Cricetulus griseus: one gene and its partner. The protein of the gene in region 2 interacts with the protein of the main gene of each other region in a pairwise test. Links are inferred from orthologs where the notes say so. Each region holds a gene or a part of one and is shown on either strand. Other genes may lie near its edges.

Region 1 (4,018 bases), on a different chromosome or scaffold from region 2:
ATGTATGAAGTTGTCAAAAAGAAAAGGGGGAAATTGAAGGTGTCTTCGATTTTCTTACATTTCAGTGACCCTACATAACTGAAAGGGGAGTGTGTGTGGGGGGGAACAGAAAACCAAGAGGGAGAATGGAAGAGAGAGAGGTCCCGTACCAACTGGTGTGCTCTAATCCCCTCTCCTGACCAGTAAGGCTTACGCTCTTAAAGTGAGGGAGCTAATGGGTGTAAGAATTATCAAGTTAAGACACAAGTCGCATGGTTGACTAGAAAGAGGCCCCTGGTCTCATGTCTGTCTGACGTGAAAGGAGGCTCCGTGACAAATGCCAGCATTCAGGCTTTCTTCTATTTGTCAATAGTATCTTAGGATGGTTGGGAACAGGAACAGTTATCAGCTTTCTGCTTCTCAAAAGCATGAAAGGTTCTCACAGTAACAATCTTGTGATTATTGTGTTCCCAAGATTCAGCTACAAGTACATAACGTTTGCAGCCCCCCAGCTCCTTGATCCAAGCATCCCGGGCACAGTGGGTGGTTGATTGAATTAAACTGAGCATTATTGCCTGCTTCCACCAATGATTTTCAATTTTAGGGTGCATATGTATAGCCAGGAGATGGATTTCATTGAAACTCACACTCAGGCAGTTTGGCTGGAGCTGAAGGGAAGGTGTTTCAGACTGTTGGTGCGATGCTGAAGCTACTAGTATGGGTTTACACTTTTCAAGGTCTTAAAATGAGATCTCACTCTCCAAACATTATACAAAATGCAAGTTATACAAATTGTAATCGTTCCATAAAAGTTTACAAAGATTCCATAGAAATGGAATATTTTCTCTTTTAAGTACTTCTTCCTCCGATAAAGGGAATAAATTAGACATCGGAGTCCAATAGCAAGAGTTGGAACAGAGCCCTAACTTGCTTCCCCAGGTTCGCTACTCTCCTCTTTCCCAGGTAGGGGAAGGAGGGATAAAATGAGGAAGGAAGAGAGGGTCCACGATCTCCAGCGCTGAGAAGTTCCCCTTGGATTTCCAGTTTCTAAGGATTCTTTGCCCCTTTGAACTTCCGAGGTCATGAGCGCGCACATTCAAGCGCAATGGCGCGTCCCCCTCTGCGCCCTTGTCCTGGCGGAGGAGGCGGACGCGCTTGCGTGCGCGCTCAGTATAAATAAGTCCCAGGCGGCAGCCACTGGGCAGAACGGGCTGTAGGAGCCTCGGGCCATGGCGGGTGAGGACCACCCGTTGCAGGGCAGCATCCTCTACAATTTACTGATGAGCGCGAAGCAGAAGCACGCGGCTGCTCCAGTAGAGCCCAAGGTGCGCTTGGGGGTTCAGTGCTGGGGTTGTGCCTGCGGTGCTCAGTCCATCGGGGACGAGGAGGGACTGCCCGGAGGGCAAACCTCGTCCCTCCTGTACCGCTGCTGCCTTTGCGGGGAGAACCACCCGCGCCAGGGCAGCATCCTCTACTCTATGCTCACTAGCGCCAAGCAGTCAGGCTCAGGGACCCAGGCGTCCAGGGCGCGATTCGGAGCCCCGTGCTGGGGCTGTGCCTGCGGCAGCCCCGAACCCCTGGTGAGTAGAGAGGGGACACCGGCCAGGCGGGCAGCCTCGCTCCTGTACCGCTGTTGCTTCTGCGGAGAAGAGCACCCGAAGCAGGGCAGCATCTTGTACAGCTTGCTCACTAGCGCCAAGCAGACGCACGTGTCTCCGGAAGCGTCCGAGGCACGTCGCGGAGGCGAATGGTGGCAGCTGTCTTACTGTACGGAGAGTATGGATGACCCAGAGGGGCTGCAGAGCGCACAGGCCATGGCGTTCTTGTACCGCAGCTACGTGTGCGGTGAAGAGCAGCCCCAGCAGAGCAGCTTAGCCTGTGGCACACCCGGGAGCTCAGATCAACTGCCCCGGGCTCCGGAAGAGCAGCCTAGGGCCCTCTGGTGGGACGCCTCTTCTGGAGTGCAGCGTCCGTTGACTCTCAAGAATCCACAGGTGGTGTGCGAGGCAGCATCGGCTGGCCTGCTGAAGACACTGCGCTTTGTCAAGTACTTGCCCTGTTTCCAGATACTGCCCCTGGATCAGCAGCTGGTGCTGGTGCGGAGCTGTTGGGCGCCCCTACTCATGCTTGAGCTGGCCCAGGATCACCTGCACATCGAAATGATGGAGATCTCCGAACCTAGCGTACTGCAGAAGACGCTCACCACCAGGCAGCAGGAGACCCAGGGTGCTGAGCCCGCAGATCCCCTGGCCAAAGAGCAGCCACAGATGGTGTCCACTGCGGAGGCTGGACACCTGCCCTCGGCCGCCGCGATCCAAGCCATAAAGAGCTTCTTTCTCAAGTGCTGGAGTCTGAACATCGATACCAAGGAATATGCCTATCTGAAGGGGGCCGTGCTCTTTAACCCAGGTAAGCATGGCAGCCTTTTCCATTACCTCTCTAGGTCACAAAAGCAACACCCCTACACACAGGCACTTAGGAGTTTTCAGTGGCTGTAGGTGTGTTGGAGCCCACGTGAAGCCTCGTGACAGACTCTGCAAAGCTAATGATGAACACATCCCAAAGTGGGTGAGTTTCTGCCAGAAACTCGGTACTGGATGGGGTGGGTGAGGAGAAAGCCTTTTACTTGGAGCTCTACTTTTATTATCTTCGTGGGACATGGCTCTCTCTTCCTTGTTTAGCCGTCTCTGAGGTCCAAGAGCATAACTTAAAAACAAAGTTTTTGCTCTTTTCACACAAGTTCTTCTTAAGTTACTGTTTTCCAAATTTCCCTTTAAGAAGAGCTTGTGTTGGGTGCAGGGTGATTTGTCTTCCCAAGCTCCTCCCCTCTGAAGGTAATAGTTCAGCCCAGTCCAGATTCTGCAAGTCTGCAAATACAAGTGGCTCAGGTGATTCTTGAGGCCATCTGACAGTTTTCTCATTCTTTCGGCCAATTGTTATTCCTGCACTATTGAGATTCAAAGTGGAGACCAAGGTCTCAGCTTTCAGAAGTCGCTATTTCCAGTAGTTTCCCAATTGCCTTGACCCTGTTTCACATCCTTTGCCTCCCTTAACACACACACACACACACACACACACACACACACACACACACACACACACGTGTACACACACCTCATTCCCTCCCTCTTTCTCTCTCCGTCCCTCTCCCTCCCTCTCCTCCACCCTCTCTATCTCCTCCCTCATTCTTCCCATTCTTCCTCTATTTTTTTAGTTCTCTCTCAATGGGAATTTATCTTGCCAAAGTGTGTTTTTAAATAGTAATGCAACCACATTTGTGCACAATGTAACATCTGTAAAATGTGTGGCCTCTCTTTCCTGATTACCTTTCTGCATCCCCTTGTCTTTATGTTTATATATAACAAAGATACACAACGTTTATATTGGATATAGATATACAAATGGGTTTTAACATAAGGAGATAAGTAAAGGATAAGGAGATATGTAAACTGTGGAGTCCATCTGCCTTTTTTTCTGTCTTTACATTGAAGAGAAGTTTTGTGGGGGTGGAGAGGTAAAAGTAGGGGGGGAGTGGGACAGGAAGATGTGAGGAGTTGGAAAGGAGGACCAAACAAAACAGTGTGAATGAGATAGCCATAAGTAAACCTCTTAGTTTGTATCATAAAAAAGAATTTTTATTGCAAAGAAAAAAATAGTTACTTTAAGGAGAGGGCCAGGGACTGTGTTGTGAAATGTAATGGGTGCCTTCACAAAATGAAGCTTTGGCAAACCACAAGTCTGTGTAGACCTAGAGAAACTTTCTCAGTGGGATCAAACCTTTGGTATCAGGATAGAAATAGAATGCAGGATGTTACTACATGGGCTGTTGTAATCTGAATTATAATCTAGATAAGAAATGTTTCCATATTGTGTTGCTTTTTATGATTTATTATTTGCCTATAATAGGAATGTTTCTTTTCTATCAAGATTATTATTTTTAAAGCATGATGCCTTTAAAATAATCATGTGTTGAATTTTGTAGAAAAAGGAAGGAAAGTTATATCATCATTTAAACCAAATCTGTTTTGAAGTTGCTTTT
Region 2 (4,089 bases):
GTATGAGTATGTTCCCTGGTTCGGAAGCCTATATTGAAATAAGTATACACTTCAGGATAGTTTCAGTGCCTTGCTTCATGGTCTTCCCACAACAACTGTATGTCCATTTGATCAAAATATACTGATATTTAATTAAGGTGTTGGCTGCCCCAGCCCCAGCCCCTAGTCTTCCTCTCCAAACCTAGAGAGAGAAGGGACAATACACCATGCATTTATTTATCTTTTATTTACCTTTGCTTTAAAAGGCTGTGCGGACTGGAGAGAGAGAGAGAGAGAGAGAGAGAGAGAGAGAGAGAGAGAGAGAGAGAGAGAGAGAGAGAGAGAGAGAGAGACAGAGACAGAGAGAAAGAGAGAGAGAGAGAGAATAGAAAATGTTTACCCCTCTCCAACTGCATCCATGCACTCTTCCCTCTTCTGTACAGCTATGAAGCTACTACCTTCCACCCCAGAGGGCTCCACCAGTCAGTTCTTAGGCTGAAATCATGTCGAAGAATCTCTTATTTTATTTTTTAAATGCTCTTTATATTAGGACACAGCAAAGAAAGGTATCAGTAGAAGCTAATGAGAAAGTAGAGCGCACACACCAATCGTAATAATAAAAAGAAATAAAAAGAAGCTGCCCCGGCTGAGCACTCGATACACACAGTGAGGCAGGATAAACTTCTGCAGCACCTCTCGCAGAATCCGTCGGCCAAATTTATCGAATTGGCATGAGTTCTTCTTTGCAAAAACAAAATAGATCTGAGGTTAGAAAAACCAACAGCAATTCGCTCCGGTGTAGAGTGAGTTAAGTTAGTTATGGTAGGTATTTTTTCCCCTTTCTTTCTTTTCCCTTACTTTTTTTTTTTTTTTTTTTAAGCTTCTCGGGCGTGTGGGAGGGTAGGAATTAAAAGAATAAATACGGGAAAGCTGCGGCTCGCATGGGGCTTTTGCAGCCCGGCTGCAGCTTTGCCCACCGTGCTCCGGGCGTGCGCCCTGCCTACCTGCGGGCTGCGGCTCCGGAGGCCTCGCGTCGCCTCCCTCCTGATTGGGCAGCGGCCCCCCAATCAGATGCGCTCCTGGGCCGGTGGGACTGCATATGTAAAGCCCTACTTCATATTAATAAGCTCCAATCGGGGCTTTAAGTCCTTGATTAGGAGAGAGTGTGCGAGCCTCGGTCCCAACTGGCCGTGCCTATGGGCTTGTCACCGGGAGAACGCGCGTGTTAATTGCACCGGGCTGTGTCAAGGAAACTTTGATTTATAGGTGGGGTGCACAAATAATGGTTGCCGGGCGCACATGGATTCGGTAGAACTTTGCCTGCCTGAATCTTTTTCCCTGCACTACGAAGAAGAGTAGGTACCTTTTTTTTTCTTTCTTTTTGCAACTCGGCGTGGGGGGGGGGGCGGGTGGGGGTGCGTGTGTGCGGGAGCGTGGACAGGGCGGCGTGTGTGCACGCGGACCCACGTAGTGGCCTGGGTGTTTGGCGTGCGTGGGTGCTTGTTGGTGTCTGTCTGGTGCCTTTTGTGTGGAGGGTGATCTCCTAAATCAGTAAGTGGAGAATTGTTCTCTGACTACGGTGTTACCTTTGAGGCAGCCCTGTGACTGTCACTAAAACAGCTGGGTGACAGTCACTTCTCTTTCAGGTGCTAAGAATAGGCTCTGGGCACCAATGCTCAGTGAACTGTTAAAATGCATCTTTTACCCAGACCCATTTTCCTTAGGAAAGATGTTTTAAAATACAATATTCAGAATGATTTATACTACTGAGTGCTGCTTATGTATTTGCAGTTTGACAGATACTTGAAACTCCCTGTCACCCTTTACTGCGAGGAGTTAGAGGCAAAATTGTACATTTATTAATTCTCCTGCAGAGAACGATTTAGCAACTAGCCCAGTGCCGCTCAGAGCTAGGGTAATGGTATTTATGTGGTTAGCATTAAGTCAGTACTTAACTGGCAAATCAGTCCGTTAAGTAACATGAGATTGTCACACATTATAAATATTTAAAGGGGAGAGAACTGAAGAAGAAACATTAGTGACTTAAAAAAAAAATCTTCCCTTAAATAGGCAGTGTGCATGTCCTGGGTTTGGATTATGTATCATATTGTGTCCAGAAACATATAAAAAGAGCAGTATACTTCTTTAAATGCAGTTCAATCCTATTTATGAATACCTTCCTGGATAGTCTATATGTTTAGATTATTAAAGGTCCATGGGGAGTGAGTTGGAGTAGGGAAAGCAAACTGGGTATTCCCGTGTAAATGAATAGGTCATAAACTTAACTTCAACTCACTGTTTAGCTAGAATATCCCTCGATCACGAAGCTGTCAGTGGTCTCTTTTGCTTTCTGTTGAGTCAGTTAGATGGCTTTCGCATTACAGTAAACTGTTATAATTTTTAAAAGAGTGCTCTTGGCAAACCTTTCTCTTGATAGGTTGTGAAGGAAATAACAGAACTCTGGGCTCCTGGGCTGTGTGTTGGTGGTAGAAGTCCACTAACTGTCCTTAGTGGACTGTCCTTTCCTTTGCATCATAATTGAGAGATGAAAAGTGGCTAGCAGTCTCTCGTTGCCTGTGTGTGTTTGAGCGTGTGTGAGTGCACACACATGCACACACGCACACACTCTCACAGGAACTATTAGCTGAGACTGGGATCTGAAACATTGAGAGGCTGTCTCTGCATCTGTTTGAAACACTCGAGGGAAGAGCCAACCTTACAATGCTCAAGAATAAAAATGAAATACAAACAAAGGTAAGACTGCCCACACAAGTACAGTGAGAAGGTCGGTGCACCTGGGCTGTAGACTGGGAGAATGGTAATGTCAGTGAGAATGCCTTAAGCTCACCCAAATTCTGAACTTTGTTTCCTAAATAAATAATCAGAGCAAACTTTAAATATCCCTCCAAAGGGTTCATGGAAAAAGTAGTATCCTTGAATCTAACTTCTTATAGCTAGTTTGAATAATTAGTTAAAATAGGCTTCTTAGAGCAGACGTGTTTAAATGGAACCAGGGCACATTTCCTTTTGGCTTTGGCACAAGATTCAAACTAGCTCTTTCTATCTTTCTGTCTGTCTGTCTTTCTTTCTTCCTTCTTTCCTTCCTTTCTTTTTGGTTCAATTAAAAGTCATCTTTAAAAAATACAGATTTATTGTGTGGGTGCAGTTGTGATGTTTACGTGGTTCACTGGACAGACTGAAAGATCCAGGGCTGAGCAACGCATCTGCCTTTCTGTCTCAATTAATAAACCACAGAATTTATACATGCTATTAATATTCATAGTAATTGTGCCGGTTTCAACCCCATCACGTGTGTATACACTGAAATGAAACCTGAGTTATGCAGTTTCCAAGGAAAATATTGGACCATTTCTTCTTGGGAGGCTGTTAAAAAGATTCATGCAATTTATTGACCACCATTAAGAGATCTTAAAATGTTAACCTTTAACTATGTAAGTACATACATTTTTTTTTTATTTTAGGAAAGGCGCCAGCACTTTCAAGAACACAATGCTGTAAGGCTTGTTTCCTACTGAATAGCAGTAATAGCTGATAGCATAAATAGACGGAAATAATGTATCTGCTGGTTTTGACATATGTGTCTGTGTAATCATTCTAAATGAGTGCGCTCGTCACACGAATCCCTTTCAACCTCTGATTAAAATGTAACATTGACTACAGGATTATAGAGCGGACTTAATTTTACTGACTGTTTTAACAGTTGTCACAGCTGTTGGGAGAAGGCAATTGAAACACTCCAAAACAGACAAGAAGGGGAGGCAGCAGTTTAGGAAATTCCAGCTTGATTCTTGAAATCCAGACACTGAACATTTAGCAGTTTCATGTTTGTAAGGATCCCTGCTCAGAGCTATGCAAATTTTATTGTGTATGGTTTCCTGTGTTTCAGGGTGTTGATTTTTATTTTCCTCTCGGACTCATGTCTTCTCAGGAAAAGCTAACCTGAATTGAAATAGACTTCTTCCAAAGTGATACTATCATAGGGAAATGCAAAGAATAAAAATAAGAAAGAAACCTGTGTAGAATCATAGAAGCAACAGAAGCATAAATCGTAATAGATACTATGGGTACTATTTTTTTAAAGGGGAAAAA

What was found. The genes of interacting proteins can lie anywhere in the genome.
Region 1: the proteins of Esrrg (region 2) and Nr0b1 interact in binary tests that used the Homo sapiens proteins (3 or more experiments, as listed by UniProt). The link is inferred for Cricetulus griseus from reciprocal best matches to the Homo sapiens genes ESRRG and NR0B1.

The regions. Positions count from the first base shown.
Region 1 is NC_048604.1:82,193,717-82,197,734, reverse strand, and holds the start of Nr0b1 (nuclear receptor subfamily 0 group B member 1), read left to right. Parts: upstream 1-1,208; coding exon 1,209-2,388; intron 2,389-4,018. UniProt on the Homo sapiens protein: Nuclear receptor that lacks a DNA-binding domain and acts as a corepressor that inhibits the transcriptional activity of other nuclear receptors through heterodimeric interactions.
Region 2 is NC_048598.1:6,844,021-6,848,109, reverse strand, and holds the start of Esrrg (estrogen-related receptor gamma), read left to right. Parts: upstream 1-1,278; coding exon 1,279-1,334; intron 1,335-4,089. UniProt on the Homo sapiens protein: Orphan receptor that acts as a transcription activator in the absence of bound ligand. Binds specifically to an estrogen response element and activates reporter genes controlled by estrogen response elements.